Notamacropus eugenii: one gene and its partner. The protein of the gene in region 1 purifies or fractionates together with the protein of each later gene. This does not show direct contact. Links are inferred from orthologs where the notes say so. Each region holds a gene or a part of one and is shown in the gene's direction. Other genes may lie near its edges. The genes, in order: TBC1D15 and UBXN8.

Region 1 (8,067 bases):
ATTTCTTCCTAATTTTCCTCCTATGTTTGTGTAAAAGCTATGACCATTCATTCTGAGATAACAGCTCCTTGACAGTGTATGAACAAATAACCTAATCAACTTGATAAGGTTTGTTTTTTAACTTTGTCTTACTTTTTCCCTCTATCCCTTCCCTTTTACCTCCCAGAAAGCCATGCATTATGACAAAGACATTAAAAAAATGGGGGGAAATCCAGCAAAACTGATCAAAACATTGAAAAAAAAATCTGACAATACATGCAATATCCCATCCCATGGACTAGTTGTGTTTGCAAAGACGATTTCTCATATCCCTTCTTTGGGGCCAAGTTTGCTTTCTGCAATTCGTATCATTAATTTTTGATTATTTTGTGATTGTTATTCTATATGTATTGTTGCGGTCTGTGTATAGATTATTTTCTTACTTCTGATTTATGTCACAAAACAACTTTTTAAAGAAATATGACAAGCAACAGGAGGAAAAAGAAGAAATGGCATATTTGAAAGGGCTAGAAGGGTCAAGAAAAGATTTCTTCAGGATTAGGGATTGGAGAAACCTGAAGCCAGAGAAGAGATGGAAGATGCATGAGAGAGAAAGGGTGGATGCTGGAGCAAAAATCTGAAGGAAGCAGGACAGTACGCAACCATGGAGATAGATTAAAACCGTTAGTTTTAGCAAGGAGTAAAAACAATTCTTTCTTAGAGAAAGAAGGGAAGGTGAGGATAGCTGATGCTGTTGAGAAGTTCTGAGGTACGGACAAGGGAATCGAGGAGCTCCTATTGGATCATGTCATTGTCTAGCGATCCTGGCCAATACAGGAAGAAAAGAAAGAAGCACCTACTATGTGCTAGGCGCTGTGCCTTTAAGCACTTAAAAAATATTATCTCATTTGATCATCACAACAACCCAATAAGGTAGGTGCTATTATTATTCCAATTTTATAGTTGGGGAAACTGAGGCAGTGAATCACCTTTGCACGGTCACATAGCTATTAAGTCTCTGAGGTGGGTTTTGCATTCAGATCTTCCTGACACCAGGTCCATTGCTTTATCCACTGTGCCACATGGCTGCTTATAGACCTTTGCAACTTTTGACAGAATACTTTCATATCCTGACTGCTTGGTCATGCCCCCGCATATAGGCACCAACCTAGCCATTTCCTGGAAATGCTCCTTTCTTGTGTTTGCTTCCCTCATCTGTTCCAGATAAGACCCTCACTCTGAGGCACATGATGACTAATGTAATGCCTATCTTTCTCCCCATGTGTGTTTCATTCCATAACTAATTTGTGTGTAACGTGACTGCAAAACCATAATCTTATCTGGGTGACCTTACTGGAGAATTATATGACCTGGTTCCCATTTTTGAAACTCCCTAAAATACTTTTGCTTAGGAATAAGATATAATATTAAATGTATACTGGTTCAGGGATCTATGAGGTATTCCCAAAATCTTACTGCATTTTTACGCAGTTAAAGCTTAAACAGTGCTAAAGTTTAAATGTGCTAACACTGCACTAGGACCTACAGGATCTTGTTTTCTCCTAGTTCTAGAAAAGATATACAATTCAATTCAACAAGCTCTGATCTGCCCTTCTATGTGCCAAGCAACGTGTTAGGTGCTGGGGATAACAAAGTTAAAGACAAAATAGTCCTTTCCCTGAAGCAGTTTGCTTTCTATTGGGGAAAACATGTTGTTGGAAGAAACGCACATAGAACATAAGTACCAAGTGACCATGGGGGCAGCTAGGTGGTGCAGTGGGTAGAACACTAGCCCTGGAGTCAGAAGGACTTGAGTACAAATGCAGCTTCAGACACTTACTATCTGTATGACCCTGGGAAAGTCACTTAACCCTGGATTGCCTCCAAAAAACAAACAACAACAACAAACAATGACTATGGAGTCTTTGGTAGTATGGGAAAGGAGTAGCACCCACAGTGGGGGTGGGGGACCAAGAGAGGCCTCTTGGAGAACAAGGGATTGGAACTGAGCCTTCCATGGAGTTTGGGATTCTTCTTTGGACCGGGAACAGTCTAGGTCTGAAGTATACATTCCTTACAAAGTCAAAGAATATATTATGTGTGAAGATGGAGGGTGGGTGAGTAGGAATAATAGGAATTAAACATGGAAAGAGAGACGAGCTGACTGTGAAGGCTTTTAATGACAAAGGTGTTTGTATTTTATCCCAGAGACAACAGAGAATCCCTGAAGATTCTTTAGCAGGAAAGTGATGTAGTCAGACTTGTATTAGCTCACCATATCACCTTTCCTTGAACCGGACCAAGTTCAAAGAAGAAGCCTGGTAGTCTTGGTAATACCTAGACTTGTGACACTGATGTTCCTGGGGCTAAAAACCCTGCCTAGTTATTTACTCTGAATTGAATATTGTGCCACTTCATGGAAGCTGGCTGGTTCCCATCTGAAGTAGACAGTAAGTTACCCCAGGGTTTGGGGAATCTAAGAGCCACAGGTGACTATGGGCAGAATGCCCAAGTTTGTATTGAGTATCCTTGTCAAAATATATGCTTGATTGACCAAATAGTGAGTGTGAATTCCTTTCTTGGTTCAAACATGAATACTTGAGAAAAAGTTTTGCTGGGTTTGACAGAAATAATACAGCACTCAGCTGGTCTTATCAGACTGGCACAGATGGCCTCAATCTTCCTACTCAAGCCAGAGGCCAAGTCATGTGCTTTAAGTGTGATGGGTGGAGTAAGCAAAAGGTTTGTGACTGATACTCTGAGGAATAAGAGAGGAAGTCTATTTCCTCAGTCTGGAATGTGTCTTGGCCAGTCTTTGCATCTAGAAATCCTATCAGACTTTCTAGGCTAAACTAAAAAGCCTCCTATTACATTGCCACCCAGTCAGAAGTGTTTCTACTCTCTATACTCCTGCATTTAGTTTCTTTAACTCAAATGGTACTTATCACATATTGTCTTATATTTATTTTTGTACTTAGATCTCCTATTAGATTGTAAGGTCCTTGAGGGTGGAGACCATCTCTTCTTGTTCATTTTTGTACATTTCAGAGCACCTAGTGTGATATCTCTAGCTCTACCCATCTATATGTGCATATTTATGTATATGTATATATATATGCACACACACACACATCTGAACTATGCAAATACATACAAGTTAATTTTAGGGGGAGTAACTGGCAGTTGGAGGGGGGGTGGCATCAGGGAAGGCCTCAATGCCAGAGGAGGCACTTGTGAACTGAGCTTTGAAAGCCATTAGGAATTCTAAGGAGCAGAGCCAGAAGAGACAACATTCCATAAATAGGGAAGAGCTTATGTGAATGTGGTTCAGTGGGTAATAGATCGTGAAGATAGATCATGGAAATCATATAGAGAAACCTAGAAAGGTAGGTTGGAATCCACATCGTGAAGGGTTTTAAATTTTAAACAGAAGTTTATATTTGACAAAACAAGAGGCAGTTCCTTGAAGAGGAGAGTAACATGGTCTGACCTTTGCATTAAAGAAAATCATTTTAGTAGTGATGTGGAGGATAAGCTGAGGTAGGGAAAGAGAAGAGGCAGGGAAACATATTAGGATGCTACTGCATTGATCCTGAAAAGAGGTGATAAGAGTCTGAATTTAACTTCTTGGAGCCTCAGTTTCTTCATTTGTAAGAGAACAGAGGTGGATTTTCTAAGGTCTAGCTCAAAAATTTATTTGAGACGTAGCATGGTATAACAGCTGGCCTTGAAGCTTCACATCCCATCTCTGATACAGGATGGCTGTATGACCCTGGGCAATCATTCTGCCTCTCCACGTGTCCCAGACAACTTTCAAATATTACAAATTTAGGATCGTAGCTTTAGAGCTTGAACAGACCTCAGAGGTCACCCAGTCTAGTGCCCCTCACTTCATAGTTGAGGAAACTGAGGTTCAAAGACGTTTAAATGGATTACTCAGGATCACACAGCTAACAAACAGCTGGGCCAGGATTTGAACCCTTCCAATTCTCCCATCCCATATTATTTCCATTGTACCAGTTGCTGCCAAGGAACTGATGTGCGTTGCTGGAGTTCCTTCATCCAGAAGTTGCAGGTCCACCATCTCCCTGAGAACTCTGATGGAGACAGATCAGGACCCCCAGTTGGACTAGTCTTTGGAATAGCAATGGCTCCACATCAGAACCAAATCACTGGAAATTAAATCAGAGGTGTCACCTCTGCACTTTAACGACCATGGGACATTTCCTTCTCCCTTGCCGCTGAAATCTTCCATAAATGTTATTTCCCCCTATTAGTCCGTAACCTCCTTGAGAATTGGGGGGGGGTTCCTAATGGTGAAATTAAGTTATTTCTGGGGACCAGTCATGATGATAAATTTTGCTGGATATAGCAGCTTACAAACGAAACCTCTCCTAAGTGTTATGTCCCCCATTAGAACACAGGTCCCTAGAGCAGGGATTGTCTTCTCTACTTGTATCCTCAGCCCTTAGTACGTACCTTTGAACATAAAGACTTCCTAAATGCTTTGTCATTCTTTCTCCCACACTCGAAGGGAAGTCCACAAGCATTTATTAAACGTCTACTCTACGCAAGGCACTCATTAAGGTAAGCACTGGACGGTTTCATTTTTGCAGTTATGTTCCCAGCACGTAGCGAAGCGCTTAATAAATATTTAAAGATTGTTTAGCTTTAGTGTTTTTTTAAAAAATCTTGTTGGACTGATTGATTTTTGAAGTAGGATGATAATCAGTTAAGTAGAGAAAAAGGATTTGAAGCGAGAGATGTGTGGAAACTGACACGGCCCCTAATACTGGCTCCCGATCCACCAGGACCAATCAAATCACGCCCCAAGCGAGAACGGTTACTTCCCCCACAGAGCTCCAGTACGCACGCGCAGATCGTTCTCTTCTCTATGCCCCTCCCCCACGCCTCCGCCCTTAGTTTCGGCGGATGTTGTGGTGTGTCGGAGCAAAGCACGTGAGAGGCTGCTACGTCATCACAAGCACGCGCGGACAAATGGCGGCCGCGGCGGCGGGTGTCGGGAGCGGGAAGGTAAATAACGGCCCTGGGGCTCCAAGGCACCTCTTATTTTCTCCAGGGGGCGGCGGGAGGGGACGCCCTCCCCTCCCCCCTCGCTGGACTGAGGCGGGAGGCTCTTCCTTCCTCCCCTCCCCCTTCCGAATCCTGGCCCGGCCAGCCGGTGGCGGGACTTAGGGGAAAGAGGACGTGGCGGTGACAGCTGCCCCCTCCCCCCGCTTCCGTACCTGCGTCGGCCCCATCCCCTTCCCTTCCCGTGGGCCTCCGCGGCCGAGCTGTTTTTCCCTACACCCCCTCCTCCTTTGAGCGTGTAGAACTTCGCCCGTGAACCTCTGCGCTTGGGGCGCCCCTTCTCTTTAGCTAGTAGAGCTTCCAGCCCCTTCCCTTCCTTCCCTTCCCTTCCCATGAACCTCCGGGGCCCGGCTTCCCCCTTTCTCTCTTTCGCGGGTTGCCCGTCGGGTCCCTTCTCTTCCCGTGATCCCCCGCGGCCGAGCCACCCTCTCCCCTCCCCTCCTTGCCCAGGGGGTGTGTCCGGTGATGGGGGCGGGGGTCGTCTGGGGCTGTGACTGCGACTGCTTTGAGTCCGTCCCGTGAGCCTCCGCTCGGATCCTCGCTGCGCTTCCTCGTGCTGCCTCCTCGGCTGGGCTTCTTGTCCCTCCTTCGGCCCAGTGCTCGGTGGGGCGGCCGGGGGGCCTCTGGGTCAGGGGTCAGCTTTGGGGAGGGCTGACCGAGGGAGGCCGCAGGCCCGCTGTGTGCGGGGCAGTCCGACACCCCGGGAATTGGGGTCAGTACGTACGGTCCTCAGTGTTCAGTAAGGTGCCCTTCCCCTCAGCCCCTCTGGGACAGTATTTTGTTGTGGGTTACCTAAATTTTTCTTTCAGTCAATCATTTTAGGTCCCCACCCCCGAAGACACCCAAACCCTTGTCACACATATGCTGTTAGTTCCCATGGAGGCCGAGTCCAAAGACACGTGTCTAATTTAACATCTTGAGATTGTCTCCTTGGGTAATAAGTCTGTGATTACCTTTACTTAATAAATAAATGCCTGTTGACATGTCAGGTGGAGAGAGGAACATGCTTTATCTTTGGTTCTCTGGCTTTCTTCCCTTTCTTCACTAGACACATGCCTACTGGAAGATGCCATCGCTTTCCTGGCACGGGGGTGCTTTGTGCATCGGAATATAATTTTTGGTGTCATATTTTGTAAGATTTTGAGTTTCGGCAGCAAGATTAAAAAAAACCAAACTATTATTTTTTTGTTTTCAGAAGGCGAACGATTTATTTTTTGTCCTGTGTAGATTTCTCAGTTTTCATTTATGATTTCTTGAAATATAGCTCTGGAAAAAGAGACTTTAGCAGTGATTAATTTCTGTTTCAAATGGAGCTACTTGAGTAAAGCTTTAAACCCAAATCACTCTGACTTTAAAGTGGCTAGCAATAGGCCCTAGCCCAAGCCTCTCTGGCTCATTGTTTAGTTTTGCTGGCTTAAATGAGTGTAAATGGCAATGGTTTTCTATTAGGTCAGAAAATCTGAGGGTCTTTCCCTCCCAGATTGATACTTTTGTGATGATGGCACACTAGACCATTTTTTGTCTCAGTTCTTACCTGACTTTTAGTCATCAAATGAGAGTTGACTCAGACAAACAGCCCTGGGAAAGACTTAAATTAGAAAGGCCAAGGCCACTCACTTGTATCCTGGGCCATCCCAAGTCTTCTTGACTTTCTGGAGGAGAAAGTAAGGATGATGACTTTGCTAAGCTCGGCCTGACATACTGTTCATGAATAAGTCAGACACCACCTGTGATGACATTGGGCTCTTAAAGAATGAAAGACAAATAAGTGATTTAAAGTTGTTTGTCCTTATAGCAATACTCTCAACCACGTGGGGGCTTTTGTAATTTAGTGTAAAGACTCGGAATCTAGAAAATTGAGATCTCTGTAACCATGGCTCTGAGGTATCTCCATTCTGTGTGCCATTTTTATCACCTGTAAATGGGGATAATAAAAGAGTCAGGACACTGGGTTTGAATTTTCTCTCTGGCAGGACACATATGGCCATTAGCAAAGCAATAAAACTCCCAGATCTGTTTCCTAATCTGTAAAATGGGGCTAATAATTTACACTGGCTGCTTAAGCAGGTTGTTGGGAAGAAAGCTTTGTTCAGTCCATAAAGTACTACATAAATCCTTAAAGTGGCGGTAAGTAAAGCACTTTGAAAAAAGGAAGATATCTGTTAGTACATTGCAAAGTACCGATGACTAGTTTTAAGTGTTTATACATTAAAGCTTCATTTTATGAATATTCCTCTCCCCTTGTTTGGACTTCTGCAGGAGTTTTCAGCCCTTTTATGACTAGGGAATATTCAGTGACAGAGAGCAGGCCCTCACAACCTGTGGCCTGCCAAAGGATTTTGGAGTGCCCTGGGGAAAAATGTAGAATATGTTTTCCTCTACATCTTTCTCAGGCTGCCTGGCAATCCTTTGGCCAGCCGCCAGAGGCCCACAGTTTTTGCAGGCCTGATATACAGTCTTTCCAAACCCCTGGGGAAGAGGACAAGACTGTCCAAATATCAGATCATTCTCCGCTGAGAAATTAGGAGAGAACTAATCTTCATCCATTCAGTATCAGTTTTGGACTCCTGTTTCTTAGACTCTGACTAAAAAGAACGAAACAGTCCGAACTCTCAGATCAGTCTGTTTCCCAGGTACTGCTATGCCTAGGGATGCAAAGATAGGGAAAAAAACAGTTCTTGCTCTCAAGGATCTCACAGTTTAATGGGAGAAACAACTTTCAAGGAGTTTGCATTCTAAAGGGAGAGATGAGAAATGCATATATAAGTACATATAGCAAAAAATGTTAATGAATGCAGGTTAGTTAAATACAAGGTTGTTTGGAAGGGAGGGCACTAGTAGTTGGGATCAAGAAAGGTTTCATCTACAATCCAAAAATGTTCACTTGGGTCCTGAGCAGGCAGGGAATTGTCTGTATGGTTCGTATCTTTGTTATTGACAGAGCCTAGGAGAATATTTTAGTGACTAAAAACCAATCACTACAGAAATTTAAATAAA
Region 2 (7,791 bases), on another chromosome or scaffold:
CCCAACACTATGCCTGGTACATAGTGAGGACTGTCTTTTCACCTGTCTTGGATCCCTAGTGCCCAACACCATATCTGGCACATACTTGGGATTATTTTTCCACCTGTCTTGGATTCCCAGTGACCAACACTATGCCTGGTACATAGTGGGGACTGTCTTTTCACCTGTCTTGGATCCCCAGTGCCCAACACTATGCCTGGCACATACTTGGGACTGTTTTTCCACCTGTCTTGGATCCCCAGTGCCCAACACCATGCCTGGTACATAATGGGGACCGTCTTTTCACCTGTCTTGGATCCCCAGTGCCCAACACGATGCCTGGTACATAGTGAGGACTGTCTTTTCACCTGTCTTGGATCCCCAGTGCCCAACATCATGCCTGGCACATACTGGGGACTGTTTTTCCACCTGTCTTGGATCCCCAGTGCCCAGCCCTATTAAGAGGAATTTAATAGATGCTTGTAGACTTGACTTTTTCACTGCCTTCACTCTAGACCAAGCCCTCACTGGTCTCTCCTCACCATCCTTCCTACATGGGGGCTGCCACTGTCACTCCCATCATGTCACCTACCCTGCCCAAACACAGGCACATGCCCTGACAGGTGGCAGGGAAGCCGGTCACACCAGTGGGTGGCCCATACAGAATTCTCAGAGGGCAGCGATCGCTTTGTTCTTCGGCTCTGTACCCCCAGCACCCAGCTCAGGGCTGGACCACCAGGTTCACTTTACAATATTGGCATTTCCTCAGTCTTATTCTTTCAGGATCAATTTCATGTGTTCTTATACCTGAACACAGAAACGTCCCAGGACTAGGGGCATGTTCAGTAATCCATGGAGGCACTACCCATGAAGGCTTGGCCCAGGCCAAGTCCTGGGAGTCCTGGGAGACAAGGGACCAGAGCTGTGGGGACAGCTGGGGATAATGCTGCCTAAGGTTCCCAGGAGAGATTGGGGAACAAGGAAGGAAGACAGTATTTACACAGGTAGAAACAGTCTGGGTATGACAGACTCTGGTTAGCCTCTCCAGACAAGGGTTTGATTTCCTGGCAGTGGGTAGACAGTAACCCTGTGTGAACCCTCCCCTCACATAGGAGGGGGTCCCTCCCCCAACCACGGCCCCATCCCCAGCCAGGCAGCAGTTCTGTGGGGCTACCTCCTCCCTCCCTGTCAGATCACCAGTCTGTGCTCTGGGGCAGTGACCAGGAAAGAAGAGCTCCACACCCTCATTTTTTATCTTGGGTGGGATGAATGAGTCACACAGGACCAGGGAATGAGGAAGGGCTTTGATGGTCTCTTAGAGCTTTTCACATTCCCTTACCCTCCAAGGCCTCCTGAGCCGCCATTTATGGAGAGGGCCACCCTGCCCCAGCAATCCTTGAGCCAGGCTCCCCAGCTCCTTGCTCCCTCACCCTTCTTATGCAGCAGTCTTGTAGATTCTTCCTCCCCACCTTCTCTCCATCTCCCCCCTGCCTCTTCAGACTTCACTGCTCCTCAGAGACTGTAACAGGGGTGGATAATTCTAGGGGAGTCCCCTCCCCCATCGAGCCCTGGCCTTGCCTCTCTGGGGTATGGGATTGTGAACCGGGGAAAGCCTTCTCCCAGTTCCAAGGGCTCAAATGCACAGCAGAGGTGGGGGCTAAGGGGGCCACTGGACGCCTGCAACAGTGAATAGGGTAGATGATGAGAGCCAAGCCAAGGCAGGTGGACCCACAGAGTTCAGGGACCTGAGGGAAGGGAAGAGATCCATGCAGGAGGGACCATCTGCTGGGAATGGAAGGAAGGCTATGGTCCAGCATCCTGAAAGGTGGGAAGGCCCAGAAGAAGCTATCACCTTTCTCCACCATGTTTATTGGGTGTCCTGGCCTTTGTCAGGAGTCACAGAATTTGAGAAATGGAAGGGACCAGCCACTGTGGAAAAGAACATGGAAGTGTCCCGGAAGTCACTAACTTGGGTATGCTCTGGGACTGAGAGACACCACAGCTAGGTGAGATAGAGAGAGAGACAAAGAGGCAGAGAGAGAGAGAGAGAGAGAGAGAGAGAGAGAGAGAGAGAGAGGAAGAGAGAGAGACAGAGACAGACAGAGACAGAGAGACAGAGAGAGACAGAGAAGGAGAGAGAGCAAAGAACAGGAAAAGGATCCCTGGGAATGGCCAAGCACGTGGCGATGGAACACCAAGGTGCTGTAAGAATGATGCTGTGCCTGTTTCTGCTTTCACAGCACAGCTAATTCAGAAATAGGTTTTACATAATCGCACATGTGTAACCTGTAGCAAACTGCCTGCCATCTTAGGGAGGGAGAGGGGAGGAGAGAGAGGGGGACAATTAGAAACTCAAAACCTTATAATGCATGCAAAAAACTGCCTTGAAAAACAATGAACTACTAAGAGAGGATGCAGGGTCTGGTTTCAGAGAAGCCCGAGGAGATTGGTACAAACAGAGGCAGAACCAACTGAAGGTTCTTCCTGGCATCTCGCAGCCCCCAGCTGCCCTGGCTCTGCCTGCTAAGACCAGGCAGACAAAGGTTGGTCCCTCTTTCATGGCTGTAAGCGACACTCTCTGGCCCCGAGATCCCTTTTCCAGGATCACCCTTTCCTTTAAGATCTCTAAACCAGGCCTGCCCCGTGCTAATTGCCCCTCCTGGACACTCTCCAGCTGGCCAACTTCCTTCTCAAACTCAGGAGCCCCCATCCCCAAGCATGATACTTCAGGGAGGGCAGAGGACAGAGGGATCATCACCTCCCTCTTGGGGACTGGGGGGGGGGGGTGGCAGCTCTCTCTTGACCCTTCCCAAGAGAGTGCCAGCTTCTCAGTCTGCCATGTGCCCATCTTCCTCCCTCTGCCCATACCATTTCCCTGTTCTCATTCTATGTTCTCCCCAACAGTGCAGCTCCAAAACAGCCTGCCCAGCTCCTAGCCTGGACCCCTGAGCCCACCAGAACGTCACTCTTTCCTTCTAACTTCTGACTTAAGCAAAGACCATCCCCCCAGGGAGGTGACTGCTTCACCCAAGGTCACAGGTGGGTCAGAGATCTAGCTAGAACGGAGAGGGACCTCGGAGGTCATCTTGGCTGGCTTCTCTCATTTTACAGAAGAGGAAACTGAGGCCCAGGGAAGGGCACAGGGGCAAACAGCAGAGTTGGGAACAAACGCAATTCTCCACTGAACATCACAATCTACATTCTACACTACTCCTTTGGGCCTCAGTTTGCTCGTCTGTAAAATGGGCTGGGGAAGAGGGTCATGGGGAGTCCAACAAAGCTGAACAACAGAACCTGAGGTCAGGATGGGTGATCTTCGAGGTTCCCCAGGCCCTCCCAGGGGGAAGAAAGCTGGGGCCCCGAGGGAGGAGGGAAGAGTGACTCAAGCTGGCAGTTGGCCTGCTGTGGTTCAGTGTGGCAACAGCCCGAGGGGCCAGGCAGGGGCTGAGTCTCTGGAGATGCCTCAAAGAGGCACTCTGGGGAGCAGGGAAGCAAGGCACGACCTTAGCCAAGCCTCTACCTAGAGCCCAAGTGCAGGCCGTGCAGGACAAAGGGCACTGAAGGACCCCCCCCCTCCGTGGGCTTGGTTAACAGAGGTCAGCTCTCCTTCCTTGACAGGGCCCCAGGAAGGAGGGAAAACAGCCCCTGTGCACAAGACATGTATACAACGTGCACAGGACATATATACAATGTGCACAAAACGTATACAATGTGCACAAGACATGTATACAATGTATACAAGACAGATACAATGTATACAAAGTAAGTGGAGAAGGGGGCCTGGAGTCAGACGGTAGAGACGGACCTGATCTTGGGACATTGGTCCCTCCGTCCGTCTGTCAGTCAACAAACATTGATGAAGAGCCCGCTGCGCTGTGCTAACAGACAAGTCCAGAGAGAAGCGGAGGGGGGGGGACCCTTCGCCCGTCTGCCTCAGTTTCCTCGTCTGTCAAAAGGAGCAGGACAAGGGACGCAGGGGGGGCCCCCAGGCCCTCCCTTCCACGGCTGCCTCTGTACAGTGCGGGGTTCGGCCTCTGCCGCCGCCCTCCCAGCCCTTCCCCCTCCCGCGGCGGCCCGGGTCTCGCACCGCCCCCCTTCCCGCACTCACGCAGGTGCCCCCCAGCTTGTGGCTCTCCACCACGGCGGCGCGGGCTCCGAGCTCGGCCGCACGCCGGGCGCTGGCCAGGCCGCCCGAGCCACCGCCGATGACCAGGAAGTCGTAGGTGGCCGATGGCTCCATGGCCCCCGCCACCCCGCGGCGCCCGCACTCGAGGGCCGCAAGCAGCAGCCGGGGCCAGCGCCGCGCCACGCAGGTCACCACACCGGCCACCACGCCAAGACCCACGCCGGTGCCGCCGCTCCACTGCCGTCCTTCCGCGCGGCAGCCCGTGCTGGGGATGGGAAGAGGCGGGGCGGGGCCAGGGACGGGGCGGGGCGGGGCGGGGGCGGGGTCCCGGCGCTGCAACTTCAGCGTGACTCAGCAGGTGCCAGAGCCCCGCCTCTCCCCCCCCTCCCCACCATGGGAGGGGGAGGGGGCAACTGAGACAGTCTGACTTTGGGCCCGGGCGAGCCCCACCCCCTCCGCTCCCCCTCCCCCTCCTCCCCGAGCTCCCGCCTTTCCCCTTCGGGACGCCACCATGTCTATAAACCAAGTGGCAAACTCATTTCCACACTGACGTCCCGGAGGCTTTACGCCTCCTCTGCGGGGGTTCCCCCCCTTCCTCCCTCAGATGGTAGCAACCGGGCAGTGGGCGGGACGGAGGCGGCACGGAGGAGGGAGGGGCCCCGCCAGACAGAGGCGCGGGGGGCGGGGCATGGAGAGGGGCGGGGCCGCGCTTGCGCTCGGGACGCGGCCTGAGGCGCCATGGCGGCCCGCGCGGTGTGGCTGCTGTTGGCCATCCCGGCCGTGCCCCTGCTCTGCCTGCAGCTACGGAGCGCGGGCTTCAACCCAGGTAAGGCGCCGCCTTTCTCCTCCGGTGTCCCTCCGCCTTCCCCCGTCCTCGTGCGGACTACAGTTCCCAGCATGCTCAGCCACCCACTCGCACGGCAAGGCGTGCTGGGAAGGAGGCGGGGTCACTCCTGGCGGCCCCGCCCCCGCACGGTTCCGCCCCTTCCGCCGTCGTCGGTCGTGCCTCGTGCGCTTTCCCTCGCTCGATGGTCGGGCGTCCACGTTGTTCCGCGCGAGGGCTTGGTGCGCATCGGCGGTGGGAGTCCTGGCCCCAAGGGCTGTCATGACCTTCGTTCCGCCATGTCCTTCCAAAATGGCGGCCCTTCGGAAGCTCCCCCGACCATGTACGAGTGTGCCTGTGCTTCCGCGTCCCCTCCAGCATGGACCGGTGCCGCTTCATTGCGGTGTTTCAGAGGGGGTGGCTCGTTCATATAAATTATCACGTGTGATCATATGTATCGCGGCATTACGGTACCGTATTAACGTGAATCGTTAGCGGCGTAGCGGTTTGGGTAACTTCTTCCCCTGGCTCTCCAACACCACCGTGATCCAGGCGGGCCGCGCTCAGAAGTGCGCCCCCTGCTCCAGACCGGGGGTTCAGTCCTTCTTGGGGCTGGCCACGCCTGCGGAGCCCTGCTCAGAGCGCCATTCGAGGTCGGTAATAAAGCAAAGCGATTGTGTTGAAGCCGATTGGTCAGAACGTTGGAAAGCCACGTGCTCAGAAGCCCGGGTAGGCCCCGAGCTGGGAGGAGAGCGGCGTGCTGAGGGGCCCGGGGCGGGGGGCGCTGGGCGGGGCCTGGAGGGTGGGGCCTGGAGGCCTGGGCGGGGCCTGGAAGGTGGGGCCTGGAGGCCTGGGTGGGGCCTGGAGGGTGGGGCCTGGAGGCCTGGGCAGACCCTGGGGGGGGCCTGGGCGGGGCCTGGAGGGTGGGGCCTGGGGGCTTGGGCAGGGCCTGGGGGCTTGGGCAGGGCCTGGAGGGTGGGGTGGGGCCTGGGGGTGGGGCCTGGAGGCCTGGGCGGGGCCTGGAAGGTGGGGCCTGGAGGCCTGGGTGGGGCCTGGAGGGTGGGGCCTGGAGGCCTGGGCAGACCCTGGGGGGGGCCTGGGCGGGGCCTGGAGGGTGGGGCCTGGGGGCTTGGGCAGGGCCTGGAGGGTGGGGTGGGGCCTGGGGGTGGGGCCTGGAGGCCTGGGCGGGGCCTGGAGGGTGGGGCCTGGAGGCCTGGGCGGGGCCTGGAGGATGGGGCCTGGAGGCCTGGGCAGACCCTGGGGGGGGCCTGGGCGGGGCCTGGAGGCTTGGGCGGGGCCTGGAGGGTGGGGTGGGGCCTGGGGGTGGGGCCTGGAGGCCTGGGCGGGGCCTGGAGGGTGGGGCCTGGAGGCCTGGGCGGGGCCTGGAGGGTGGGGCCTGGAGGCCTGGGCGGGGCCTGGAAGGTGGGGCCTGGAGGCCTGGGTGGGGCCTGGAGGGTGGGGCCTGGAGGCCTGGACGGACCCTAGAGAGGAGGAGGATGGAGGCCCTTGCTCGAAAAGCCCCAGCAGAAGACCTGGGAAGGCCAAGTCCACCAAGGGAGCTGCGTGGGAAGAGAAGGGGAAGGGTTATCGCAGGAAACAAGCAGCGAAAAGAGCCCGAGTGCGCAGGCGCGGCTGGGTCAGCCAGGGGCGCCCGCAGGAGGAGCACCCAGAAAGGAGACGGGGGCTGGAGAGAGGACATGGGGATCCGAGGAGCCAGGTGGCTGAATGTCCCGCTGGTGGCCGCGAACGAGTGCTGCTCGAGCCCCGAGAGGATGTGCCCACCCTGGGGCGGGCCGAGACACGGAACCGAACCGCAGACCGGAGCTTTGGTCCGCATTTCCCCCCTTCCACATCAGGACAACAGTCTGCCCTTTGTGTCTATGGTGGGAACGTGGCTGGTTTTCTGGGTTTTTAGCCCAATTTAGTGGCCGTTCACTTTGCGCTGAATGATTCTGGATGCGTCTCCGTGACTTGACCGGAAGCGGGTCCTCCTCCGAGTGCTTGAATCCAGCATCGTTTGCCCCGGTGGGATCCGCTGGTCCCCCCCAGGCACTCCCCTTCCCGCTCTCTGGATCAGGTGGTTTGGGAAGAGGGTGCCTTCTCCGCTCCTTGGCACACTGGACGTGTAGACGCGGCTCCCTCAGCCTTGTACCGGCCGCCCTTCGCAGCCAGACTCCTCGGAGAAAGCCGTCTGCCCTTGCCCTCTCCACGCGGTCCCCTCCTCCTCTTCTACCTGTGGCAGGCTCTTTGATCTCACCTTAATGGCCAGATCCCACGGCCTTTGCTCACCTCTCATCCTTTGCTTTCTCACAGGATGGAAGGATGTCCTTCTGCTGGGTGGCCGGGGTCTGCTCTTTCTGGCTGTCCTGGCTTTAATTCTTTTGATGACCACCCCGTGGCTTACATCTCCAGCTCCATCCAACACGTGTTTGACAGGTAAGCTGATGCCACATGACGAGTTCACTTAGGATTTCCGATTCTCTGGCTTTTCCCGGCATGTGCTTTGTCCAATACGTTGCTACTCTGTGACCACGGACAGAGAATGGATGCTCTGGGCCGCCATTTCTTCATCTTCAGAGATGCCTGGGTGGGACCATATCATTCCTCCCCTTTCTCACCTTGGTGATGCCCTGCCGTGGTTTAGGCAGAGTGACCAGTAGAAGCTCGGAGCCACGTAGTGGAAAGAAAGCACTGCCATCTCCCACAGGCCCATTTTAAGATGGGTTATGGATGTCAGCAGTTGTGGTGAGGCCAGCTTCATACTTCGCACATGATATATGTACCAAGAAGGTATGTTCAGGATGTGGTCAAAGGTTATGAAGCCTTGGGCAAGAAAACAAAGATGGAAGATAGAGGGCACAGG

What was found.
Region 2: the proteins of TBC1D15 (region 1) and UBXN8 purify together in Homo sapiens (affinity purification with mass spectrometry; 3 studies listed by BioGRID and IntAct, counting the BioPlex papers as one, with this or other methods). This does not show direct contact. The link is inferred for Notamacropus eugenii from reciprocal best matches to the Homo sapiens genes TBC1D15 and UBXN8.

The regions. Positions count from the first base shown.
Region 1 is NC_092874.1:249,722,921-249,730,987, forward strand, and holds the start of TBC1D15 (TBC1 domain family member 15), read left to right. Parts: upstream 1-4,899; 5' UTR 4,900-4,911; coding exon 4,912-5,013; intron 5,014-5,537; exon of another isoform or gene 5,538-5,782; intron 5,783-8,067. UniProt on the Homo sapiens protein: Acts as a GTPase activating protein for RAB7A. Does not act on RAB4, RAB5 or RAB6.
Region 2 is NC_092878.1:167,289,760-167,297,550, reverse strand, and holds the start of UBXN8 (UBX domain-containing protein 8), read left to right. Parts: upstream 1-4,773; 5' UTR 4,774-4,843; coding exon 4,844-4,931; intron 4,932-5,076; exon of another isoform or gene 5,077-5,657; intron 5,658-7,241; coding exon 7,242-7,364; intron 7,365-7,791. Other genes in the region: GSR (glutathione reductase, mitochondrial), read right to left, coding at 4,088-4,219. UniProt on the Homo sapiens protein: Involved in endoplasmic reticulum-associated degradation (ERAD) for misfolded lumenal proteins, possibly by tethering VCP to the endoplasmic reticulum membrane. May play a role in reproduction.